Bombyx mori: one gene and its partner. The protein of the gene in region 2 binds, or shares a complex with, the protein of the main gene of each other region. Links are inferred from orthologs where the notes say so. Each region holds a gene or a part of one and is shown on either strand. Other genes may lie near its edges.

The links.
Region 1: the proteins of opioid-binding protein/cell adhesion molecule homolog (region 2) and zwei Ig domain protein zig-8 are in contact, whole or in part, in a crystal structure (PDB 6NRW), measured with the Drosophila melanogaster proteins. The link is inferred for Bombyx mori from reciprocal best matches to the Drosophila melanogaster genes DIP-eta and dpr1. Residues at the interface, in NP_001188701.2 of Drosophila melanogaster: Tyr72, Lys73, Val74, Ala75, Leu77, Arg78, Val79, Thr81, Gln82, Thr83, Ile84, Ile87, Ile92, Thr93, Lys94, Asn95, Met124, Gln126, Ile127, Asn128, Thr129, Asp130, Met132; in NP_001286645.1 of Drosophila melanogaster: Asp82, Lys83, Ser86, Ile88, Lys90, Asp92, Leu93, His94, Ile95, Ala98, Tyr103, Thr104, Ser105, Asp106, Glu136, Gln138, Asn140, Glu142, Lys144.

The regions. Positions count from the first base shown.
Region 1 is NC_085134.1:6,086,607-6,093,187, forward strand, and holds part of zwei Ig domain protein zig-8, read right to left. Parts: intron 1,987-6,581; coding exon 1,776-1,986; intron 1-1,775.
Region 2 is NC_085115.1:7,129,562-7,136,935, reverse strand, and holds the start of opioid-binding protein/cell adhesion molecule homolog, read right to left. Parts: upstream 3,764-7,374; 5' UTR 3,445-3,763; coding exon 3,318-3,444; intron 1-3,317.

The DNA.
Region 1 (6,581 bases), on a different chromosome or scaffold from region 2:
TCACATATATTTTGGTATTATTGTATTATAGTATGGTAGAACGTGTTTCATTTTAGTTGCCCCACGACAATTGTGTAAGCAATTTGTAATATACACCACGTATCCTTGTCAAAACTTTGAAAGTACTTTGTTCTAGGAAACGGCTTTATCAGAACTTTAACACAATCTTGTTTGCTAAAATTATTATTATGTAAATCTAAGGCGATAAATAGCAAGCTACAAGTTTCCTAAGTTCTTGTTAAATTCCTAAGTTTACTTGTGACTTGTCGTCAAACACATCATTCTCCCTAAGGGTACATTCACGCTTAGCGTATCGATAGCAGTTTGTATTTCGATAACTTTCTTGTTTGTAATTCACTTAGACATTTAGTCATACATTATAAAGCTAAAAAATTATCTATCTTAAACAAATACGGATGTATAGAATATTAATGCAACATTTGATAAGCGCGTAATAAGAATATCGAACCCATTGAAGGCTATTATTGATTTAAAATAATAAGTTTGAATAATATTATATACAATTATTTATTAAATTCTATTTTCAATGTGGTGTATCGACCAAATCAGAACCACTGTGGGAAATCTGTAGCCGTATAGCCTTGTAAGATGGGTGAAATTTGCTCCGTCCAAAGCTACATAGACGTTTACGATCACTCTATCAAGAAGGATATGATTAAGAAGAAGTAGTATTATTTAAATTGCATAGATATTTTGGTGCAATTTGTTAAGCTATTACCATAAGTAAGAGAGCAGTAGTCAATGAGGCTATAGCCTAGAGATCTTGCTTAAATCGCGGAGTTGGTCACTGTAACCAACTGCGGAAGAGATGGGGTTGGACGGAAAACCAAAGCTGTGAATGCAGATGCCCAGAGCAAACTGTACGCCACATTGTCATGGAATGCTCAATAACGAAATTCGCAGGCCAAGTGGAAGATCTCAAAAATGTAACAGAAGAAGCTATCGATTATTTCACAAACTGTAAATTTAAATTATAACCACGCCTAGTAAAGGAACAAAAAAAAACGTCCAAATCTTGTGGTACAGACACAAAAATGTATCAGATAAAACTATTGGAGTCTCCTCTGTAAATTTATTTACGATCCAGGAATCCCGGACATATTTTACATCAACTGCGAATGTGGTTTTAGTGCCAAACTTTGCGTTACGAACTTAAGTTTGTGCTGTTAATGGTCCCAGATTTTACTAAGCTTTATTGGAAACTGTCAAGGACCTTGTTTAGATTAATTATCAGGGGTTACTAAATACTCAGATTAAATTCTAGTTTGTCTCCTATTTTGTTAAGAGTAACATTTCGATATTAAAATTTTGTTGTTCTATCCTTGACTTATAAGATTGATGAAATTATTAAAATTTGTACTTACTCTGTTATTACTTTTTTTAACAAATTTCTGTATTATTCAAACAGTATTCGTGTGATATTGATTATGTCAATATTAAAATGCAATAGGTAAGACAAACTGATCAAAATTTATTAAACAAAACATTAATATGTTTATTAACTAATTTCATACGTCATGAAGATGCAAACGAATGTGTTGAATACGTGGCGATTATTAACTCCACTCACGGGAGGCGGCGGTGACTTTTGTGCTCTCGCGAGACCACAGACCTGGCAAGTTCTCTGATCTGAGAGTTACATTAGGTAAATAATAAAATAAAAGAAAAACCTCATTGGATTCGTGATCTGGCTCTTTTTATAAATAACGTGCCGCATCACTACGGATTTTTTTTTTTTTATATTTCATACTGACCAACGACATTAAGTTGAAATGCCAAAGACATCTTTGGTTCCGTGTTGACTTGGCACTCGTATATCCCGGCGTCTCTCTCCTGTGGGAATTTAATCTGCAGTGTCCAATTTTCTGACTTCTCAGGCCGAATAACCTGGAACCTCTGGTCGGATGTGTAAGTCAAAATCCCAGCCGTGAGTATGTGGAGATCCCTCTTCCTGATCCAGCTGACCTGCAACAAAACTCTTGTTACTTTTAGGCTTTTGAACACTACACTAATTAAATTATCTGAGATATTGACGTGACTGAGATTTTACAATTCACAGACATTTTTCATGACGACAGAAATTACAAAACAAAGTCAAGAATCGACAGCTTGAATTTTACCATTTATCCTGATATTAAACAAATAAAAGAAACACAATATGTTCCTAAATTAAAATCAATATATTCGTTGTACCCTTGTATGTAAAATCTGTGGGTGTGACTGCGTGTAATTAATAACTATTACATTAGACGCCTTAAGCTCTAACATTAGGAGCAGGCTTAGGGACCCTAGTAACCGTACTCGTCGAACTCGGCAAAGAGTTCCATGTGCAACCTAACCGATGCATCAGCTCGCTGAGTTTCTCGCCGAATTTTCTCAGCGGGTCGCGATTCCGATCCGGTAGTAGATTCATTCGCGAAGCAGCTGCTCTTGAATTATTAGATCTCCTTTAGAGGCATTCGGGTAGCTGTTAGCCAATCGCACCCCTCCTGGCTGAATTTTTGTTCGCCGACCTGTCCTGATGAAACTGGAAAGGCCTCCGGGCCTCCATTAATAAAAACACTGGAGTATAATGGATCCTATCTTTTTGTGAAGCATCGATTGATGTGTATGATATTTTCTTCTGGATTATACAAGTACAAGAGAATAACATTGTAACCGGTTTTTAGCCGAGCCGAAATACGAGTTACAATGTTACTCCTTGAATGTGTCGATGTTTATGGAGAGCCGATCTCGCATTGTTCTAGTATTTTGCAATTAATTTCGGATCCATCTAAAATTTGACTGCTCCGTTGGTCTTCTGGTCCATCTTCTGGTCAATCAGAGTCAGTAACTTTATTAGAGATATTAGAGAGAGAGTAATCGTCATCCGAGTGTACCATTTCTGCATTTCATCTGTTGAATATAGAACGTAAAAATATTTTATGATCCATCCATCAGTCATTAACGGCCGTCTGGTGTAGTGGTAAGTGACATGGTCACTACACAAGGGGGTCGCGGGTTCGAATCCCGCCAAGGGAAGATATTTGTATGATAAATATAAATGTCTTTTCCAGGGTTATGGATGTCTATTAAATATATGTATGTGTATAATAAAAATCTTACATTTATATCCGTTATCTGGTACCTTTAACACAAGTTCTTTACGAACTTATCACGGGACCAATTAACGTGGCGTGACTGTTAGTAAATATTTATTTATTTATTATTGAGATCATTGAAGAACATACGAGAACATACATTGAAGAACGCCGTTATCTTATAAATCCAAGTAAAAAAAAACTTTACAGACATCTAAAAAAATGACAATGTATTTTTTAAAGATATAATAATGCTAAACAAAACGTCAAAATGCTGTGAGACGAGACTGCGAGTTAGTTGAAACTATTGTGTTATTATATTAATGGAATGTTTAAAAAGTCATCAATCTCTTGTAAATTACACTCGCTTTGATGTTAATTGTTTTATAAAAATAAAAGACCACTTTGTGTTTTATTTTAGATGGAAATTTTTCCAAGAATGCTAGCTTTTTCATGGATTAGTTGTAATTAAAGTGAGCGTTCAGTTTTGACAAATTAGTCTCATTTTAACAATATGATATTAGATTGTTTTTACAGTTTTTGCTACTCCGAACTGAACGTAAAAATGGCGTAGTATGGATTTAAGGATATTAAAAAGTGTTCATGATAATTTTTTAGTCGGCATCAAAAGACAGGCAAGGCCAACTAGCCCGATACTACATAAGTGAATTATGACATGGCATCATGGTGACAGCCAAGTATAATTTTAATTTAGCTTATAAAATAATCATTCTTATACGATCTTATCATTCATATACATAATAATGTATTACAGAAACTAACTAAATGTAGATAATTAATTTTATCGAAATACAATTTTAAGCTATATTATACCACACTTGTTTTGATAAAATTAATTACATGCTGAAAATGAGTTCTGTAATCTAATGTATGCTGTTTTCAAATAATTATCCATTTTATAAAAATAACTAGTGCTGCTTAGTGAATCTTTGTAAATGCCTGACTTCCAAAGTTGCAATTATCAATTTTCTGCCAAAGACGTAACGGCCAAAATTGGCCAGCTAGAAATCGGTATGCAAAAATGAGGCCATTATAGATAAAAACGTATTTAGTGATTTTTTGCAGTTAATGAGTTTGTGGCGACTCACTTACTCGCCACTACTTGGGCAACCGCCTTACAATTCGACGAAATCGCTGTCGCTTATGAATTCAGGCAATCATCTATTATTGTTCAACACTTCGGAATCTTAAGAAACTGCGGGCAGTACTCATCGATATTTGCTGTGCTACCCATCGTTCGTGTCAGTGCTTTACTACTTCTTTAAGTTAATTCTTTATCGTACCACTCTTGTCATAGTTTATTTGTGAATATTGCTATCTTCAATAAACTATTCAAAGCAGTACATATTCATACTCACTGTGTAAAACACCCTTCGTGTCAGCGCCTACCTAATACAGTTAGAAGCAGAACTAATACAACTACTTCTACAGTGGTGACCCTCGACAGCAAGAAGAACCGAAGATAAGTGGATTAAATGTATAATTAATTATCATCATATACATTATCGTTTTCGGCTATCACATTTTTGTTCAACAAGGTAGACGCAAAATATTTTTAAGTTCTTGCAATAAGCCGACGATATATCTTGTAATTTATAGACATATACCTCATCGTTAACATACTATTACATGTTATTCTATTCGGGCAGGAAAATGTACTGGAAAGGTACTCGCATTGTGTTACACTACTATGGGTTCAAAGGCTATAAATGTCTTGCTTCGAAATTCTGCTCGTAACAAAAACGAATTCCAGGTTGAAATTTATAAATTTTGTGGATGGCGATATGTATAGAACCCGAACGCATGCCTGTTCGCTAACATCCTGATTATTTCAGCCCCATAAATCCAATAAAAGTGAGACAACGACCTCAAGTATCAAAAGGCAAATGGCATACACTATGCCCATCTACACTTTATTCACGAAATATGTACATATATGTTAAATTTATCGGCCTGCTCAAAGCAAACACTTGGATAGACAGAATAAAATATGTTAAGGATGAAGCGCTTGACATTATTCTAAAAGGCAACGATGCCGAAACTCGACTGAACATTCTCAAAAATATATTTCGTATTGCTGTATGAGAAGTGGAAAATATACGCTGAAACTTCAGTGTGACAGTTTGGACAATGACAAAATCTAAAATGTATTACGATTTTGGAATTTTCTTCTCAAGAGCTTTGGACGGTTTGAAGAGAGACATGAGAAATTCTCAGACACTTCAATTTTGTTTCTACCTTCCGTTAGTTTTATTTTTGTTTCCATAAATATTTTTATAGTCTAGCTAGTGTTTAGCAATTACCCAGGAAAATAAATTGTAGAGGAAATAGACATCTTCATAAGGTTTAAGTCTTGGGTGAGGTTTATGAAGCGGTTAAGCCTGCGTATGTGTCCTTACGCTACGATCATGTCATGTGGTTTGTTAAATATGTCCGATGAAGATCTTCCACTGCGGCAGTCGAGAATTAACTTTGAACGCTCCAGTGTCTACATTAATAAATAAGTTATTCTATTATTTAGGTACATGAATGATTGCTTTAGAACAAGAAAAGGTAAATAATTCCTAAAAATATTCCTTTTTTCAATTAAATTCAAGATTTTTGCACCGTTTTTTTTATTTTCCATGTCATGTTTATCAGATTTGGTTGTGTTTGTAGTATCAGTGAAACCAAATAAATACTTTAAATAAGTTACTAATCTGGCTTAATTTCACGATAATTATATTAATGACAATCAAAAAATTAAAGAAAATACTACTAAAAATCTAGTAACAAGCTTTGGTCGTTCTAAATTTTAAAAGTTTACTGTGTTTTTTTTAATTAAAATCACTGATGAAAGCAAACTACTAGGGCAGCTATATTAAAATTTAAAGCTCTCAATAACACAGAGAAGAATATTTTTATTATCAATTCGAGCGATAACAACAGAGAATAAAAGATACAAGACAATAGTCTATCCATTAGAAGCAGGCGGAGCTTAATGGATCAAAGCGCTTCCTTTATGGTTCTATACGAGGTTAATCTCTGTTTAACACTTTCAATAATAAAAATTACGACTTTTACCTTTAAGTATTTAAACGTTTTTGCCTGAGCTTTTGGAGCCGAACAACACCCTCGAGCTAAGCTTTATTGCAAACAAAAATAGAAGGCAAGTTAAAGCACAGACTACAAACATTGTTCACAAGAATATATAATCCGAAAATCGTATACGGATATCTTGGACCAGTAGTCAGGGTACTAACCATTAGACCAACTAAAACAAAATTTAGGCTCGCAAGGATGGCTCGCATTACCTTCCTATTTTGGCCGCGACACGGTCGTGCGTTTTGGGTGGACAGATAAGACAGCCATAATACAAAACAGTTGAACTACGACCTTATCAATATGTCCAATGTAACTATTTAAAACCAGGTCAGACATAACGTCAGCAGATGTAAAACTATAAAGAAAATTTTATGT
Region 2 (7,374 bases):
AGCGTGCAGGACAGTCTCGTGCTCAGCCTTCTTCTTATCAAACCGCTCGTTTTGGTACCAGGCTGGAAGAACTCGTTTATCCCCACCTAACCTTAGCTAGTCTACTACGCTACTGTTTATCTATCCATCAATGGTGCCCCCGGTCACCGCCGATCCAGTTAGCCCTCCTCGCCGATAACATGACTGTTTATTACTTCACTAGGAGAAATATGTAATTATTTGCGAAAAACTTCAGATCACAAGCGGAACCCTAGGACCGGTTCCGGAAAAGGCTCACCGAAGTAGCCCTGTGAATCTACAAGCGGCATAAAGTATCCCTCTGATATATCCCCCTGTAATCTGACATATAATATGATCACCCTGTAATAAGGTGACACTGTACAAAACTTGCATACATCCAATCGTGGCCTGTCCGAGTTTGGTGCCTACTAATGCGGTCCGCGCCTTCATAAAATCGCACCAAATTTTACAGTTTTACTTCTTCAGGATAGCTGTCGGAGTATCGTTGTATGTGAGGACTTTCACGTCAACCTAGGTATCAAAACCTAAAGTTTTAAATACTCCCAGTCAGCAGAAGTCAGAAGCTTGGCCTAGAATAGCAATATATTTTCGTTAGTGTCATAACATCATGAAAACCATCATCATAAGCCACGAACATCATCGAGAAATAATGAACAACTTTTTCTGAGTATTACACTAGGGTACTGCGTTCGCAAGGGGCATACTGGTAGTAGGACGTAATGAGTTCATATAGATGAGTGCCACCATCTTGCCTATTTCTTCAATATAGAAATAGTAATGCGCTCCATACAGCCTCTGTACAATACAATTGAGACTTCAACCTGATGTCCTAGGGTGGGCGGCGGCATTCACGTTGTGATATCTGTAAGCTTTGGTAACCACTTAGCACCGGGGCCGCAAGCTAAAAGTTCAGCGTTGGAACGCTACAACTCGACACGATAACCCTCTTATAATGGCCGCCATCAGCTAAAACTTTGGCTCACGTACTAGAGATGTCCTGAAAGATCCACCTGGTCCGCTTTCAGTTCTTCCTAGCATGTACTGCCTTCAAGCTGTTAAGCTTCCTTCGGAGACAATGGAGCACCTGTTGGGTAATCCCACACCTTCTGACTGATCCGTGCTAGCCTACCTACCCTGGTAAAACTGGAACGGCATCTAAGCCCCTAGAAATCCTTCCATGCAAAATCATCATCTTTTCTGAACAAATCAGTACTGACACGAATTCCACGAGATACAATTGCGGGGCATGCTACAAATCCGCGCGGCCTAAAGTCATCTACTGCAACCACGGGATCCCTGTCAGATTCGATATTTTTATCGAACCTATTTAATGTATAAAAGCATAGTATAGGGTGTATAAACATATATAAATATATTATATGCTGTTTAATCTTTAGATTTTTAGTGAAAATTTCGATATCGTGTGAGTCCGCGTCATTCGAGTTTTACGTCCAACGCCTACAGATCCGATGACCGTTTGATAATAAATGGGCCGTGACACAATTTCGTTAGTATTCAAATGTACGAATCTTTTAAAGAACTAATTAAGTCGATTGACTCAAATTGTGCCGGCTTCCAGCTAGACAACAATGTGTATCATTCTCACCAATTAGCTATCTATATAAAGACAAGACAACAGATTTAATCAGGTTCAATGTCGTTACGTGTTACGGCTTAGACGGGACGATTAGACAAGCAGAATAATAAGCTGCGTAGTACTTACGTATCTCTGTTCTCTGTCTAATTCGCGTTATTTGCATTGTGAGGAGGGTGTAACAGATCGGCTAATGAGGTCGTCGGATAAAAACTCAGAAACTTTGTAAGGTTGTGTTGAATTGTTGTTGTTTTAACTTTGCTGCAACTTCGGGTGAATTGAGATAGTGCGAGCATGTTTATGAGTATATAAACAAACAAATTATGTACTTAACTATAATACATGTAACATTTTAATAGAATAATTTATAGAGTAACCAAAATTGTTTTAGAATAACAACTATTCATTAAAATATAATTTTCCTCTAAAATTCAGTACGATACGAAACATCGTAGAAATCAATAAAAGATATTTCTGTTTTAGTTACTTACTGTCTAAAAACAATCGATTTTGAAAAATGTTTAAAAAATATTTTTTGTGCAAAATCGTTCAATAATATTGGTTTTTACTATTTAACAAATCAAACCTCAAAGTTAACCGATATATTGAGTTAAGAGTACATAGCTCAGACAGTTATTTTATAACATTTTAATAGTGCTGTGATGCGTTAAAAAATGTTCATAACTATGAAACTTGACGTAATAGCTACTTTTTTTTAAATATCTACTTAGCTTAAAGATTGAAGACTACAATTTAAAATTAAAAAATACTAAATTTCATTTTATACATTAAATTTCATATATAATATTTGTAATAATGAGAATTAATTTTTGACTGATTTAAATTAGCAAACGGGCTCCACTCCAGTAACCGTCCTCGTCGAACCCATCGTTTGCGACGAAGGGCTCGACGAGTAAATTAACTCATAGACACAGCCCACTGAGTTTTTCGCCGGATCTTCTCAGTGAGTCGCGTTTCCGATCCGGTGGTAGATTCTGCGAAGCACTGCTCTTGCTAGGGCCAGTGTTAGCAACACTCCCGATTTGAACCCTACACGTCAAGGAGAAGCTGAAATAGCCTCTCGAGGCTATCAGCATAAGTAGGATAAAAAAAGGGCTCCACTGTACGCCTGGTTAAGTGGTCACCAGCGCAGAATGCTGCGATCTACCTTAAGGTCAGAGTATTGCATTTTGCTATTATTTCATAACTATTTACACACTCTTCTCACAAATACGCCCTACCATTTTTTTATAGCCCGTGTAGGCAGACGAGCATACGGCCCACCTGATAATGGGTGATTACCGTCGCCCATGGACTTCAGCAATGCCAAGCCGCTGCCTACCGTTAAGCGCTGCCTACCAGTGATTAAATTTCAACTTACTTGTATTTGTACTATCTTTTATTGTATTAAATATTATATTTTAGGTACCCGATTGTCCGAATGGCACTTACAATTTTATTTTTCTGATAATTAAAATATAGACTTACATAAATGAAATATTTCTTTATTTATTTATTTATTTTATTATTATTATTATTTCATTCATTCATATTATTATTATTATTTCATCATTATTATTCATCATACATATTTCGCTAACATTAGCCGAAGAATTTAATAAGATGCGAAAGATTAGTTTGGTTTCTATTTACAAAATATGAAATTAAGATTTAAAAATGGATTAAAAAGTTCAGTACTTACGCAGCGTGGCATCGGTCGTTGTTGTCAAAAACCAATCGAGCACGAGCAAAGCTAGTATAACTTTTCCGCTAGCTGCCAACGTGAATTGATTTAAGTTACCCATGACATGAAAAATATTAAAATTCATACTTGAATATTTTTTGTTGTGTTCTAGCGTTAAGCAAAAAGAACTAGAAAAGTATTATTATCGAAACCAAAAAGATATTTTTCGTAAAATTAATATCACGAATTAATAAATTCAAAAAAATAATAACTCATTTAACACAGTTCCGTTAGAGTCGTAAAGAAAAGATTATAATACAATTTTCACACACGAAAATATAGAGTACGCTCTCGATCGATGTCAAAAATAACAATAATATTCGAGATTACGAGAAAAGTTTTTGTCCTAGCCAAAATGTAAGAGCCGGTACACAACCACCGTCCTCGACGGCTACAAGATAACTGATGCAGGGCGTTTGCACCATTGCCCTCTGAAAGCACCACCCCTAACTATATTGCCGTCCTTTTCGTAAAAGGTAGGCATACGAACAGTTCACAAAACAGCCTTCGTTTTATGCTTCTTATTTTGATATACTCGTTTAATTTTGATATATTAGATATGGTGAATATATAACGCCTCATTTGGTCAAAACAAAGATAATTTAAAAGAACAGAGGTAAAAAAATCTTAATATTACCTTTGGAAACAAACTTAACAGTGTACAGATACAACAACCCTTTAAACAATACAATTTTGTACAATTCTCAGTTTATTACGTGTGAAAATTATATTAATATTTCTTCATTTTAAACCTAATTCTGGAGCCAAGGCCGGTACAATAAACTGTAACAGAATACTGAAACTAAAGGATTCTCCTCTAACTAGTAACATAATAACTATTAACAATTTAGCAGAAATTGTTCGAAACGATCTTCGAAGGTTTCAACTTTCGTTTGGTTACTTGTGAAATTCGAGAAATTACTTCCTTAGTTGTGCTTGGTGTTATTGTATTCATATCACGCGGTAACCGCACTGCCACGCCGGAGGGAAACCCCACGAATGCCCCAACATTGAAAATTGATTTTTAATGAACAGGTTTTTAAATGGGGAATATGCATTAGAATTACTTCAATTATGTCGTTTTAGACTTTAATAACATTTATTTCAATCGCCTCATCCCGTTAGAAGTTAGGTTAAACAATTCGCTAACTATTTCCATTAATACCATTCTAACGTTGTATTTCTGAGTGAATGGTTGAAGAAAAATAATTCAAACCTTCAAATTTATAAATCTGGTACACCGAAATTGCAGAGAATACTTAATTCAAAAAGTAACTAAACCACGTAAACATTTTTTTTAAGTTGTTCTCTTTCAGTAAATCTCATAACAAATCTACAAGTTTACCATCGCTCTGTAGCCTTCCGTTCTTTCAATTAATGTATTTATGTAATAGCTATTAGTCTATAACCATTTTTTTTAGTTCATTAATAGTAACAAGAAAACACTATAACTCCTCCATTGCAGTTAGTTGGTGATGCAATTATCTGCAACTAAATACACATAATCAAAAACCTTGACAATTTTTTTTTTCAAAAAACTCAACATAACTACTAACCACACAAAACATTACTTTTATTTCTTTAAATGCTTCCACGTAAATTCCAACGTACTTATAATTTATTTTACTTCCAGGTAACTAATGTCCGTCTAGGCGGCGCCATAGATTGAGTTCTGCGAATAGAGGGGCCTTTCCTTGCAACTCCCCTAGGCCACCCTACCCTTAGACCACTATTAATATTTATACTCGCATACGTCAGTACTTCACCTTTGCCGTTGCACATCGATATTCTTCAAGCGCAAGTCAGCATAAAGAGGAAACCTTTTGCTGAAATTTATCAAAACTAAAATGTATTGTTGTATCTTCATTCATTAAATTTTTCTTACTACAACAAACTTCGCAGATCACTAATGAATGACCTTAGTAACTATGATTATGATATTTAAGTACCGACTTATACTAATCTCTAAGCAACGGTCCATTTTGATCAGACGATAATTACTAAGAACCTAATATATTATCATTATCTAATAGACATGTCTACGCTAATGTACAACGCAGGATCATTTCAAAATGACAAGGGGCAAAATATTATCTTACGTCTCATATCGAAACGCATAATTTACTTGTGCAAAAGTAGCATCGATATATTACCACATATTACCGTTGTAACTATATTTGAGACCTTAGAACTTATATCTCAAGGTGGGTGGCGCATTTACGTTGTGGATGCCTATGGGCTCCAGTAACCACTTAACACCAGGTGGGCTGTGAGCTCGTTCACCCAACTAAGCAATAAAAAAAAAATACATATCGATGAAAAGTAGGGAAAACAGTGGCGATATTAGCACCACACAACCGGCGCAGTAATGTTTAATAATATGCACTTTTAAGCAAACTTCCACTTTTAATAATACTTTTAAGGCTATTTGATTAAAATTAATCATTTAAAAAATACAAATAATACTATAATACAAAAAATTATAATTGTAGTTAATACAAATGCGAGTTATGATAACTTTGCTGAGCTTCAAAAAATAAATTGATAAAATCGCGATTCATTTGCTGTTACCATTGCATTATTTAATTGGATTAACCCATAATTGTAATTGAATATTCCTATAATTAGCGTTTATTAATAAAGGTACTTTTATTTAATAGCATATCGTGAAATTTAAAATTAAACTGGTTATGAATACTTTTCCAATTCCTGTAAAGCACAAAGTACTTCTTTGACAAAAGAAAACGTATAGTGACTCATGGAATAGAATTTTAATATGAATATGAAAGAAGTCGTACAAATGTCACAGCTCAGTCATAAGTCATAACAGTTCAAGATTCTAAGCAGACGTAGAGCCTTTTAAATGTTCTTAATGGATTACATTGAAAATATACTTTTACCTACTAATCACGTTTTCGCTCTAATAGTATTCGTTTTGTACTACGAGTAGAGTAGGTAGTAGGTACACGAGCTCACGGTCCGTCTGATGTTGAGCAGTTACCTGACTTCTACAGACAAAAACGTGATTCTCTGTGATATTTGTGATTGAAGTCTAGTAGGACAAACAAGACGAAGCTGCAACCTTGTCCAGCCTTTCAAAATGTAGAGACCATCAGGTCTCACAATAAAACATTTTCAATACTTTTACAGACATTTCGAATTCTTTATTTACGTTAGCGTGGTATAGACATGTGATGCGTAGAGAGAAAATGCATGTGACTAGGAGATGTATAGAAATGGTAATGCAAGGTAGAGAGGGAAGAGGTCGACTGAAGAAGACATGGATGGAGTGTGTGAATGACGATATGAAAGAGAGAGAGGAGTGAGTGTTGAGATTACGGCTGTTAAAAGAGAACGGAAGAGAAAAATTAGCTGTGCCGACCCCACCTAGTAGGATAAGGTGGAGAAAAAGAAGAAGAAGATTTCGAATACTTTATTTAAAGTTTTCGTGGTCACAGACGAATAAGGTATTTTATTCATCCATTTATTTTCACTTATGACTAGACTTGACTTGAGTCAGATAATTAATGGGTCCTCGCTGCGAAAATAGTACCGGACATGTCGCTTCCGACTGTCGTGGCTACGATTCTCGGCAGCGACGAGTCCTGGCAGGCGATGCTCGACTTCTGCGAGTCCACCTTCGCGCGCGCTTTTATCCTAGGCAGACTCTACCCCATGACCTGTAAGCGAAGTAAAATGTCCCTTCGGAATAAGGTGATACTTTACAAAATTTGCAAAAGGCCCGTCATGACTTACGCGAGTGTGGTATTCGCTCACGCGGCCCGCACACACATAGAGACCCTCTAATCCCGCTTTTGCAGGTTAGCCGTCGGAGCTCCGTGGTTCGTAAGGAAAGTTGACCTACGCGGTGACCTGGGCCTCGAATCAATCCGGAAACACATAAAGTCAGCATCGGGACGGTATTTCGATAAAGCTATGCGTCGTGTTATCATTGCCGCCGCTGACTACTCCCCGAATCCTGATCACGTAGGAGCCAGTCACCGTCGCCGCTCTT